Schizosaccharomyces pombe: one gene and its partner. The gene in region 1 interacts genetically with each later gene. Each region holds a gene or a part of one and is shown on either strand. Other genes may lie near its edges.

Region 1 (8,388 bases):
ATCTTGAACATTTTTAATTCGGGTTTAGCAAAATCAAAGTGGTCCATTATATTCCAATCATCATTACACCCTTGATATGCCTTTATGACAGGAAGTTCTGGATACTGATCAGATGCCAGTGCATAACAACCATGAACTTTCCATGCTATAGATGAAGGCATCGCTTGGCGACCGTAAAGATAATTGTTTGCTGTATTATCCAGTACATAGAATCCTTGTTCATCACCATAATAAATGGAGGGTGCTCCTGGAAAAAGAAAGTACGTTATCATGGTTCCTAATAGCAAACGTTCTAATCCAAATTCAATTGCTGACCATCTAAAAACATCATGGTTAGTAATCCCTAGCATGTGACGCGGGTCAACTTTATGAGTGTTAGGATTATAAAAGTCTTCATTAACTGCCATAGCATTCCACAAATCTGTAAAATCTACGGGAAGATCATGACCAACTTGCAGATCTCCGTCCATTTGCAGAAATCTGGTCATGGCACGGTAGAGTGAATAGTGAAAAGCAGAAGCATCTAGGGCATTCGCTTTAGGTTCCCTCAGAAAGTAGTTTTCTTTAAGGGATGATGAATTAAGTGAAGTAAGTATCGACGGAGGACGTTGATCTGGTTGACGACCACGACCGTAATAAATTGAGCCATAACTTGAAGAACCAGTTACTTCACCAGGTATAAAAAAATTCTTTTTATTAAACGTTGCTGCACACCCCCTCACAGAATGAGCCCATGAAGCAAGAAAATCAACTGTAATTTGAGTAGCTTTATCAATACGAAAACCATCCACATCTAACATGGCAATGATCATACATGCGAAGTGTTTTAACTTTTCTGAAACCGATGGCCTCCATTCTCTAAGTCTATCTTGGACAGAAGCAAACTTTGAAAGCTGACGTTCCCAATCAGGATGAGTACCAAAGGCTTCTGTATCGCCATACTGATCGAAATCTGAATCATAACAACCAACATAATCAATCACAACAGGCGCGCCATCTTCACCCCAAAATCTGGGAAGCTCACACTTTGGGTCATATTTATTTGTGAAATTCCAGTCTGGATAAATGACGTTGCTTTTCCACACCGCCTCATGTTCAAATAAAGAAAATGGAGTAGTACTGTTCAGATACTTCCGAAACCCTATAAGATCTCCCAACGTAGAAATTGTAAGGTCCAGAACTAAATAAAACCCTCTACGATGGATTTCTTCTATCGTGTCACGCCATTGTGCAATTGTTCCAGAATGGTGATCGAGGATGGTGTAGTCCAGTGGTGAGTACTGATCAGCACCCCATGGCTGATTTAAAAATGGTGTACCGGCGATGTAGATAACCTTATTCGTTAACGAGCATAAAAGCATAACTCTATCTTACCTTTATTCCCATAATCTCCAAATAATCTAGTGAGTCTTTCAGGCCTATTATATCCCCTCCGTTTCGAAAACCAGTTTCATAAATATCATACTCATAAATAGTATTGTTAGCTTCATTATTTCTAGGATCACCATCTTTCCATTTATCCAAAATAACTGTGTAAAATGGCACTTGCCAATCATCTGGACTGGGATGGTATTGATGGTTTTCCCATTTTCCCCAATAATCTAGAGGATCGGTAGCTGATTGATTTTGGTTTAAATTCCATAAAGATTCTCTTTCATCATATTTAGCAGTAAAGACCAACCTTGGTATACTTAATATCAAATTCAAGACGAGAATATTCTTATTTCGCATCGTTTATGGTATTTCCTCAATTGACGTGAAGAAGCTGCCCTGTTCAAAATAGTTTTATTAAAATTAATGCGATCGTTAATGCTATTATATATGAATTTATCAAGATTTTTCCCGATTCAAATGATGGTTGCTTCTAAATACGAGAAGAGTACAATAACCAATAAGTCAACTTTTTGGAATGTAAACAAACAAACGAACCTAAAAAATTTATATTAATTTTTGCTTACACATGCATTTCTATTTTAAAAATAAATTTTAAAAAAATTAAGAAGGAATTTTATTTTATAATTAAATCGCAGTTTGCGCTTTTGTATGCAAACGGTCATTCAGTTAATAAGCTTATACTTAAGAAGAGTTGAAGCGAATTTCGATACAGATAATATTTATTAATTATGTATTAAGGAAAATCAATAATTTTGCTTTCATCGGACTTGGTTTTAGTTCAATTTACCTGTGAACGACTTCACAAGGTTCATTGTAAAGATTACTGGCACATATTCATGTGTAATTTTATTTAAAATCAATCGAGAACATGACTGCGGAAAACCTAAGGAAATAAATTAACTAGCATTGTTGGCGTTAGGGAACCGAGTATCTATAAAACTGAAACCTCCGACAACCATACTCCAAATATCTATTTTACGAGCATTGCCTATTATTTTGAGAATAAGCGCAGTCGTTAAGGCTTTATTTTAATTTATTTCTATTTATTTTTTCTTTGCATTTACATCGTTGATCATCATTCTTTTTCACGTGTTTTAGTCGTTCTTTTCAAAGCTCATTACCTGGTTGAATTTTAGCCTGGTTATTTGAGTATAATTATAACAAACTTTTTTATTTTTTAATGTTTATTGCCTTCCTTTTTTTGTAAATTAATAATGTTCAACGACCAGTCGAAAACAACTTCATCTGTGAAAGGTATATGTGCCACTACTGACAACAATCATGGTAATTTAAAAAAAACTAATTCAACTCCTTTCAGGAAAAACTATTTGCTAAATGGGAGAACTAAATTGAAGCTGGAAAATTTTGCGTACAATGCATCTACAGAAATTAGTTCACCTAAAATCTCTGAAAAAAAGCATTCTTCATTACCAATTAAACGAAAGAATACTTTTAATGAATCCTCAACATCTTTTTCCCCATTTACTAAAGCTCATAAAGAAATTACTGACGATTTAAAGCCTGACAAATCTTTCACGCGGAAATCTGACTTGAATAGCCAAGACATGCCAGGTATGATTTTTCTTGTATTCAGACGTGTATTTTAACTTTTAGAAGTATGTTTTCAAGAAACTTCGAAGGATTTGTGTCGTAGCTCTTCTACTCAACATTTGCTGGATCATCAAACGACGGACTCAACGATTATAGATATGAAACCAGTGTCAACGAACTCAAAATCTGATGTGTTTACATTATATACGGATGAAACTGTCCTATTACGACGATGTGCTTCAGATAATAAGCCACTGATAAACAATAATTTGTCGAGTTCAAATGTTTCGGAAAACCAGAGTAGAAGCTTCGGATCGTATGATGAAGTAAAAAACCAAGGAAATAACCTGCATAAAGTCCCTAGCTTGGTGTCTATAATTCGTAATGCAAGATCATCTGAGCAATCAAGAATTGCTGCAAATTCCAGTTGTCTTCTCAAAGGATCAGATACCGAAATTGACGAGGATGATTTTGCCTTAGAAGCTGAAGATCTGGCAGCATTAGATTCCCTTGAACGCCAATACTCACAATTACCTAATTCTACAGTAACTGCTTCTGCAAAGGACATAGAAAAGACAGCTAAGGTCAACCATGTGGGAGGTGATTTGCAATCTTATTGTTCAGCAACAAAAGCATCTGATGCTACAATAAATGAAGAACCTGTGAACCTTGCTCTTGATAAAGCTTGTAATTCATTGCCGGATATCAATAGCGACTTTATCGATGATTGGGATGATTCGTGTGATGGATGCACTCCTGGTGAATTGTGCGAGTTTTCCTCCGAATACACAGTATTAGAAGTTCACGAAGACTTCATTTTTCATGAAGGGAATCACTTTCGACAATTAAAGTTGATTTTGGAAGCAAATGATATACTGCATCAGTTATTTTTACGCGGTGATTGGACTGAGACTAGTATTTTTGTAGGGGATTCTATCCGTGTTGAAGCTACATTTGACAAAGATAATACCGCTATCGTTGACAACGATAAAGGACTTATTATCATACATCCGAAAATTTTAATGTCTGCTACGGCAGTGGCCAGCTCTTTTCCTTGTTTGAGGAAAGCCGTAATATCTGACAGGGTTGGCATTTATGGACCTCCTACAAAAGCTATGGTAACTGGAAACATTTTACATGATTTTTTTCAACACGCATTATACAGAGGTATTGATGCCCTTGAAAATGTTGATATCAACCTTGAAACATCAATAAAAACATACATCTCTGATATCTATTTTGCTGATTTGTCGCTCGATGAAATTCGAGAGGAACTTGATGCGAGGCTTCCCCTTCTTAAATCTATTGTTGAAAGATATTTAATAAGTAAAAAAAATGACAACAACAATGAAAGTATTCACATTTCAAGGCTTCTCGATATTGAGGAATCCATATGGTCACCCAGATTTGGATTAAAAGGTAATATCGATGCTACAGTTGAGGTGGTTTTAACTGAAAAACCTGAGTCTTCGTCAACCCTCACACTTCCGTTAGAGCTTAAAACTGGCCGATATGTCGACAATATTAGCCATTTTGCTCAAAGTTTGCTTTATACATTACTCATTTCAGATCGTTATGGTATCAATACTAATCAGGCATTATTATGCTATTTGGAAAATAGTACTATCAAGAATTTGGTTGCAAGTAACTCCCAACTTCGAGGGTTGATCATGACAAGAAATTCTCTTGCACAGCATAACTTTAGGCGCAGCCTTCCTGAAATGATTTCGAACCGAAAAATTTGCGATCACTGCAGTTTAGTTTCTGAATGTTTGTTCTTTCAAAAGATGAGTGATAAAGGAGTAGCTAATAGTAACGGCTTGACTGAGTCATGGAATGAATGGATGCGCGAAGTAAAAGATGAGGATCTTGAATTTTATAAGAAGTGGGAGAAGTTATTAAATCAAGAGGAACGACTCTTACTACTAAAAAGAGGCGATGTGTTGACTTTTGATACAGAAGAGCTAGAAGCTTATGGAAAAACTCTGTATCCTTTATACATTACTAAAGAGGATATCGTTTGTTTAGAAATTGATGACAGGGTTTTTCATTACAAATTCGCTTTTTTAAATGACAATGGTTATCCTCGAAATTTCTTGCACTCAGGCTTCAGCGTTGGTGAACGAGTATTTATTTCTGATGAACATGGACACTGGTCACTAGCTAAAGGACACATAGTCCATATTCAAGATTCATGTATTGAAGTACGAACTCGTCATCGACTTCATATTCCATGGCTAAAGATGCCTAACTTTGATTTCAAAAAAAACCAGGTATTTTTTGGTAACTATGAAGATTCCAAATTGTCATTTATCGGAAGTAACCATACGAGGTACAGAATTGATAAGGACGAATTTTCGAGCGGAATTGCATCAATAAGAGGTACCTTGATGTCTTCTGTATTACCAGATGCTCCCTTAATTATAAGGGACATGATTATCCGTTTGAAGCCTCCAAAATTTTGTAATAGTGCATTAATCGATCCTGAATTTTTGAAATGTTTAAACGAAGATCAAATTACAGCTTTAAAGAAATGCCACGCTGCAGAACATTATAGTTTGATACTCGGAATGCCTGGAACGGGGAAAACCACTACAATTTCTAGCTTAATCAGATCATTGCTTGCCAAAAAGAAGAAAATACTTCTTACTTCTTTTACGCATTTAGCAGTTGATAACATTTTAATTAAACTGAAGGGTTGTGATAGCACAATCGTCCGCTTAGGATCTCCTCATAAAATCCATCCCCTAGTAAAAGAATTTTGTTTGACTGAAGGAACGACGTTTGACGACTTAGCGTCATTAAAACATTTTTACGAAGACCCCCAAATAGTTGCATGCTCTTCTCTAGGGGTATATCAGTAAGTAATTGAAAGCGACGGCAATGAACAAACTACTAACAACATTAGTTCCATTTTCAATAAAAGAAAATTCGATTATTGTATAATTGATGAGGCATCCCAAATACCTCTACCAATTTGCTTAGGCCCTTTGCAGCTTGCTGAAAAATTTGTTTTAGTTGGTGATCATTATCAACTTCCTCCTTTAGTAAAAAATTCAAGAACATCTAAGGATGGTTTGTCGCTCAGTCTATTTAAATTACTATCAGAAAAGCATCCTGAAGCCGTTACCACTTTAAGACTACAATATCGTATGAATGAAGACATTAATTCATTATCTAGTGAACTTATTTATGGCGGCAATTTGGTGTGTGGGTCCAAGACGATATCCCAAAAAAAATTAATTTTGCCAAAAGCTCATCTAAGTGATGGTTTACCCGATTCGTCGTCTAGCCTACATTGGGTCAACAAGTTAATCAATCCTAGTCATTCAGTCATATTTTTTAATACCGATGATATTCTGGGAGTTGAATCAAAAACTAATAATATTCTAGAAAATCATACTGAAGCTTTTTTGATAGAACAAGCAGTTTCCTCCTTCTTGGAACGAGGCGTTAAGCAAAGTTCTATCGGGATAATTTCAATTTACAAAAGTCAGGTGGAGTTGCTTTCTAAGAATCTTAAATCATTCACTGAAATAGAAATTAACACTGTCGATCGTTATCAAGGAAGAGACAAGGACATCATTTTAATATCTTTTGTGAGATCCAACAGTAAAAACTTAGTGAGTATTGAACCAATTATTTACACAACTGCTAACCATTTATTTAGGTTGGAGAATTGCTACGCGATTGGCATCGTTTGAACGTTGCTTTAAGCAGGGCGAAAGTGAAATGTATTATGTTTGGCTCGTTATCTACTCTTTCGTCTTCAAATATAGTTTCTCATTTATTGAAATTATTAGAAAAAAACAAATGGATTTTCACGTTAAATGAGAATGATATAGCAACGAAATTTGACGAGAATAGCTCTCCAATTAAGGATTGTTCTCAGGTTGCAACGACAAATAATGCTAAAGTTATTATTAGAAAGAACCAAAGGTTTTTTAATAGTGACAATTTATGTGAAAAAGCTATTTTACCTCAACTGGAATTTTGATAATCTACTTCAAAAAACTCAATATTTTACTGGATACGATCTTCATAATGAAGAATGTATATATAAATGCCTAAAATAAAATTCATCTGATCCTTGTTCATGAATATAAGTATTAATCCCTCCATGATATATAAACATCGTCAGTACGATATCTTTGAGTAATCGTCGATTCTGCGACGGCACATCGGTCCCCGGTTTTATAAGCCAACAACCCTGCTTGGGCTATCATTATACCATTATCAATACAGAAACGTTCATCTGTAGAAAAAACATCAGCGCCTCTATCCGAACTCATTTCAGCCATCATTTGTTGGAGACGTTCATTGCATCCAACACCTCCAACAATTAAAACAGAATCAGCTCTGATATGTGCCATCGCGCGTTCTGTAATTTCAACTAGCATTGCAAAGCCAGTTTCCTGTAAAGAGTAACAAAGATCTTGCTTTGTAACAGAACTCGGATTTTTTGGGTCTAATAGCTCTGTAGCTGCCGCTTCAACCCCTGACAACAATCCGGAAAATGAACAATCCATACCTTTAACAGTATAGGGTAACTCTATAAATCTTTTGCCTCTAGGAAAAAATTAGTATAAAACATCAAAGTGAGTCTTACTTTTTTGCTTCTTGCATAATATTGTAACCAGGTGAAGGTGCATTGGACAAACCAATGATTCTGGCAAATCGATCCAAACAATTGCCTATAGCAATATCAAGCGTTTCACCAAAAATCCTATACTTCTTCTCTGAGTATGCAATTACTTGAGTGTTTCCCCCAGAAACATAAAGCACGACAGGATTTTGTGCACCCGTAATTTCACGACCCATTTCAATGTGACCAATACAATGATTAACTGCTACTAAAGGTTTCTTGTGAATTAGTGATAACATCCTAGCACAAAGAGCTACACTATTCAGAGGAGCACCGATTCCTGGCCCCTTTGTGAAACAAATGCAATCAATATCTTTAAAAGAAATTTTTGCCTCAGCAAACGCTTGCTTAATTAAAGGGATTATCCACGCACGATGATGCTTAGCAGTATCGCTGGGCAAGAATCCCTGTCCGGGAGGAGTGATATAAGTGTGTCTGACATTTGCTAATATTTTAGCCGATCCATTGGTATCATGCAAAATAATACCAACGCCTAATTTGTTTGCTGAACCCTCTAATCCAAGTGCAATTAAAGGTTTTCCCATAATTATTAACGTGAATAAATATACGGTTCCTCACTGGTCAACATATGCCGTTCTTTTATGTATCAGTAAGTTAAAAAGTTGCGAGCAAGCTCAAACAAACCAACTAAAGTTATTTCTGATAGAAAATACCCAAAAATAAGAAACTGAATATTTTTCGATATATTATAATCTATATATTGTAGTCCAAGAAAAGTGTGTGTACTAGATAAATTCGCTTACACCATTTATTAATCCATTTGCTTACACCTTAGA
Region 2 (5,438 bases), 2.5 Mb from region 1:
TGGTGTCCCTCTCATATGCATAATACAAATGGGCACCTGTAAACTTGCAGCTAATGGTAACATTTTCTCATCACCCATCCCTCCAGTCACATCATTAATAATATTAGCACCTGCCTCAATGGCTAGTTTTGCAACTTTTGAATAATAAGTATCGATACTGATGGGTACTGTAATCCCTGAGCTTCGAAGTAAACTAATCATAGGTATTACTCTTCTGAGTTCTTCCTCAACAGACACGGGATCAGCTCCAGGTTTAGTAGACTGCCCACCTATATCTAGGATAGAAGCACCATCTCCAACCATACTTTTTGCTTTTTCAAGGATATTATTCTGCGAGACTTTACCACCATCAGAAAACGAGTCGGGGGTCACGTTCAAAATTCCCATTGTTAAGGCGCCATTAATGATTTTTTTGTTGTCAAAAGATGAGTACAATCTTATTCCTTGTGAAGGCAATTTATCAAGAGCTTCTTGTAAGGGCTGATGGGTATAAGGGTGTACTAAGTCTGGGCTCAAGGCCAGCAATGGACGTAAAACAAACTCACGTTCTTGCAGCCCTAAATGGGGAATAGTCAAAACTTCTGATTCATAAACACAATCTTCGTACAAGACAATATCGAGATCTATACACCTTGGTCCTTTTAAAATTGTTTTGATTCGACCCATTTCTTGTTCAATGGATTGACAAGCTCTTAAAAGATTGATAGGCGACATTCTGGTTTCAATTTTGCAAACACCGTTCAAAAAAGAAGGTTGGTCTTTATAATACATCGGCTCTGTTTCGTACAAAGGGGAAACATCCAACACACGAATACCCTCTATTTTATGCAACATAGATAATGCTGTTTGGATTTGCTCAAATTTGTCACCAATATTTGAACCAAAAGACAAATAAGCAATTTTGTTCTTAGTGGATTCGTATTTATGCAGAGACTCTTGTAAAAAGTACGACCGTGTTCGATAAATTTGCACCGCAGAAGCATTGGCGAATGTGATAGCACTAGGTTTCTCAGCTTTAATGCTTATATCGTCTAGATTCTTTGTAAAACAAAGATACTTTGAAAGATTGACAACCAAAGCTTCTATAGTCAGGAAAGCAGATTGTTCGACATATTCGGCGATTGCGCGCGCGATCTCTAAAGCTTCGACCTCCGTATTTGCAAATGATATATTTAAGCAAACTCTTTGCTTCTCTTGTCGTTCAAATGCGTGAATTCCTAATATCGTAGCTAACTCCAAATCCGAGAATTCAATACGATCTACAAAGTTACTGGTAGAATTGCGTTCGCGCTCAGCATAATAGTGCAATCCATTTTTAGACCTTAAAACACATTTGGGTAAAGTAAGCTTAATAGAAACATGCGAGGTATCAATAACGTCTTCAAAACATAAACTTGCAATTTTATTGACCAAATCTTTAGGGGTTGTAAAAAAAGACCCTTCAATTTCTTTTCGTAATAGCTTAGAAGCTATACCGTAATGAATCGTTGATTTTAACTCGTCTTTTTCTCCAGCTAACTGAACATTGTTTCTCATATATACATCAATTTGCACTGGCTGAGGTTCCTTTCTTTTCCATTGGTCTTGACCCACTACAGCAAATGTGTTAAGATTTTCAACTACGACAGTGTCATGTATCAAGTCCATTTGTCTAGTAGGATGTCGTAGAGATGAGAAGCGGAGTTGTCTGGGGATAGTGCTGACTATTCTAGGTATTTTGGCAAAACCATGGAGAGAATTATTTCTAATGAATGGATAGATTCCCCAAAGGTTTACTAAACTTTTCATGAGAGTTTAAAGAATTGATTATCTATATTGGAAGTATTTGCTGAAGCGACCAACACCATGATAAGTAAGAATAAGCAATACCTACGGTATCCTGATGTCAATTATCTAAAATGAAGGCATATGGGATAAAGAATTGTAGCATTATTTGACTGTTATTAAATTTAATTCATTATTGAATACAGCTGGGAATATGTATATACTCTGATCATTTCTATGGAGCATAGAGCGATACTGAGAAATAATATTATAAGAGATTTGTCAGATGACTACATTAATGTGCTACAAATCATTATACCCGAAAATAGAAATAAGGGAGAATCAAGTTTGATTAAATATAAAACATTCCAACAACTTTGTGAAACTCAACCTTACGCTATCAGCTTAAAAGCAGAAGGAAATTAGTAGAGAAAAAAAATCAAATTGCCATGTTCAAAATTAATAAAATTTGAAAAACATTCTACTAAAAAATGCCGTAAATTACTAAATCAATTTCTGTCAGCGTTGATGAAGTAACTTCCCATTCAATTTTAAATCTTTCATTAGCATACTTCTATGAACTGGATAGCAGCAGTAATTGAACATGCGATGTCAATATTTAGATTTTAAATATTTTACATATTGTAAATGTAGTTAAGCATGTATACTCCATTAATGAAAATGTAATCTTTCATACATATTTCGTCTGCGCTGGCTTCAGTACTTAGCCTACCTTAGGATTGTTCCCACTAATTTTCAATTTCGTTGATTTTACACACTGCTTCTTATTCTCGTAAATACCACTTTCCTAAGGAATACTTAGCGGAAAAAGAAATTTCTAAAAAAATGGAGGAATGGAGAAACTTCTTAGATATTAAAGTTATCAATGAATCTTCACTTGTAAGATATGAAATTTCAACAAGAATTTGAATGTCTAACTGTATAAAAGGTAACTGTAGATAATTTAAGTCTGCAATTGGATATATCCAGTGAAAAAGCACAAGAGTAAGGAACAATACGCATTATTTTTTATTTTTATTATTAATAATTCATACTTTCAGATATCTTAATATGTTTTATCAAGGCAACGATTTTTTGTATCCTATATACCTTATTCATGGACAACCTATAGATGATGAAATTAATTTGGAAATTGACGAGGAATCTCAACCTATATCTAATTTTCCTGTTTTGCAATACATTTTGTGTGATAAGTCTTCTCTACAAGGTTTGTTATTGTCAATTCCGATCATTCGATAGCAGATTCGCTAACTATTTGTAGAGAAACAAAGTAGATTGAAAAGTGGGTATAAAACTGTTATATTTGCTCTTTCATCTGCTCCATTAAGTGTAAGTATTCGATAAGCTGTATTTTATATTGTTACAAACTAATTGATTTAATTAAGGATTTTGACGAATTATTACCTGCAGTATATGAAATAAGAGAGAAAGATGTTTTATACAAAAAAGAAGATGCTGATAAGTATGGATTTATTTTCAATGAAAATTCCGTGGTAAGTAATTTATATCACAACAATCGTTGTTTGACATTCGATCCTTCCGTCTTCGGAAGACTAACTTATTGTAGCCTCGTGTTTTGAAAAAGGCACCTTCAACTCATTCCCCCCAATTATCTGTTCCCTCAAAGACATCGACAATCGATAAGACTGACACACGTAGTACAGAAAAGACTAAAGGGAAAGATATTTTCAGTAATGCAAGGAACCAAAAGGGAAACTCATCTCGTAAAAATAAAAAAGCTCCTCTTGAAAATCATAAAGAAAAGGAGCCTCTCTTGCCAAAGGAGGAGAAGTTGTCTGAGCAAGCAAAGAGAGAGCGCGATGATCTGAAAAATATTATGCAGCTAGAAGATGAATCAGTATCTACCACTAGCGTTCACGATTCTGAAGATGATAATTTAGATTCTAATAATTTCCAATTGGAAATTGGTACCGAAGCAAAATCTGCTGCACCTGACGAACCTCAGGAAATTATCAAATCCGTATCCGGTGGAAAGAGACGTGGGAAAAGAAAAGTTAAAAAGTACGCGACAACGAAAGATGAAGAAGGATTCTTGGTTACTAAGGAAGAAGAAGTCTGGGAATCATTTTCTGAAGATGAAAACATCTCAACTGGTACTTCAAATGTTGTTAGAAACAAACCGACTACTGTAAACATTGCAACTAAGAAGAAGAATACTGCACAAAGTAAACCACAACAAAAGTCTATTATGTCCTTTTTTGGAAAGAAATAAGTTACTATTCATTTTCGATAGTATTAAAACATGTGTTCACGAAGTCCCTTCAATTCTCATGCAAGCTATTATCAGGAGTTTTATTCATATAGAAAAACTGTTAATGTTAGTACAACCTTTAATCCTAATCTACTGTTTTTAGTTTTGTTTACACTATTCACAACCAACTATGTAAGTCTAAGAGAAGTCGAAATCAATTATCAATACATCTTTTAATTTTAAATATCATAAATAAATATGTTTCCTCAAAGCATAGAAGAATCGATTCTTTTTTTTATTAGAAGTATTAAATACTCCATACATTAATGAACCACAATGCGTTAATGTGCGTTAACTACAACACATAATTTGAAAGTTGAACTTCATATTTAGTCAAAGCCTTGTATATTGGAAGTAGTCATGGGCAAAAAGCAGACGAAGCCTATTAATGCTAAATCAAGGAGTGAAAGCAACGTAGTTGCGGATCCTAGATTTCAATCAGTTCACTCTGATCCTAGATTTTCTAGACTTAAACGTGGCAATTTTAAAGTAAAAGTTGATGAGCGGTTTAAATCTCTCAAGGAGGATAAGGACTTTAAAACTACTGCCAGTGTTGATCGATATGGCCGTCCTCTCAACCAAGATAAGGCTACTAAAGAGATTGATAGACTGTATGAACTGGAAAATGAAGGGTCGTCCAGTTCGTCTGAATCATCGGAAATTACTGACAACGAAGAAGTCGCTTCAGCGTCTTCGAAATCCACAAAATCGGAAGAATTAACCGATGAGGAGTCCGAAGATGAGGAAGTATATGATCCAGCTCGTGGTGAGGGAATTATTAGTACTTCGGAAAGTAGCGATGAAAGCGACGCTGAAAGTGAAACTGAAGCTCAACCGGAGATATCCGAATTAGCTGGAATCGAGCCAGAAGAGAATATTCCTCGTGGTTCAGAAACTAACCGTCTTGCTGTAGTAAACATGGATTGGGATAATCTTCAAGCAGTTGATCTTTTTGTTGCTCTTTCTTCTTTTTGTCCTCCTGGTGGGAAGTTACTGAAAGTGTCGATTTATCCCAGTGAATTTGGAAAATCCAGAATGGCTGCGGAACATGTTCAGGGTCCTCCACGTGATATATTTACTCCAGCTGACAATCAACCTTCTAGCGCCGAATTGCATGAGGCTCAAAAATTTGGTTTTGATAACAATGAGTCTGATCAAGATGAGGAAGATGCTTTAATAGAGGAGGATTTAGGCAACGAGTTTGATATGGTAAAATTACGCCAGTATCAATTAGAAAGGCTTCGTTACTATTACGCAGTAGTGGAATGTGATAGTGTAAGAACGGCAAAGGTTATATACGAAACTTGTGATGGCGCTGAGTATGAAACTAGCGCTAATATTTACGATTTAAGATTCATTCCAGATGATGTTACATTTGACG

Evidence for each region. A genetic interaction does not mean that the proteins touch.
Region 2: of dna2 (region 1) and cdc27, a mutation in one rescues a mutant of the other (synthetic rescue), as found in Schizosaccharomyces pombe (2 studies listed by BioGRID, with this or other methods).

The regions. Positions count from the first base shown.
Region 1 is NC_003423.3:3,590,914-3,599,301, reverse strand, and holds dna2 (DNA replication endonuclease-helicase Dna2), read left to right. Parts: upstream 1-2,345; 5' UTR 2,346-2,609; coding exon 2,610-2,967; exon of another isoform or gene 2,968-3,012; coding exon 3,013-5,806; intron 5,807-5,854; coding exon 5,855-6,569; exon of another isoform or gene 6,570-6,591; intron 6,592-6,616; coding exon 6,617-6,943; 3' UTR 6,944-7,011; downstream 7,012-8,388. Other genes in the region: cell wall alpha-1,3-glucan synthase Mok13, read right to left, coding at 1-1,334, 1,375-1,731; kae1 (EKC/KEOPS complex N(6)-L-threonylcarbamoyladenine synthase subunit), read right to left, coding at 7,056-7,515, 7,556-8,136. UniProt on the Schizosaccharomyces pombe protein: Key enzyme involved in DNA replication and DNA repair.
Region 2 is NC_003423.3:1,060,550-1,065,987, reverse strand, and holds cdc27 (DNA polymerase delta subunit Cdc27), read left to right. Parts: upstream 1-2,563; 5' UTR 2,564-2,610; coding exon 2,611-2,664; intron 2,665-2,713; coding exon 2,714-2,769; intron 2,770-2,825; coding exon 2,826-2,992; exon of another isoform or gene 2,993-3,046; coding exon 3,047-3,114; exon of another isoform or gene 3,115-3,170; coding exon 3,171-3,278; exon of another isoform or gene 3,279-3,352; coding exon 3,353-4,018; 3' UTR 4,019-4,270; downstream 4,271-5,438. Other genes in the region: fol1 (dihydropteroate synthase), read right to left, coding at 1-1,788; pre-rRNA processing protein Esf1, read left to right, coding at 4,418-5,438.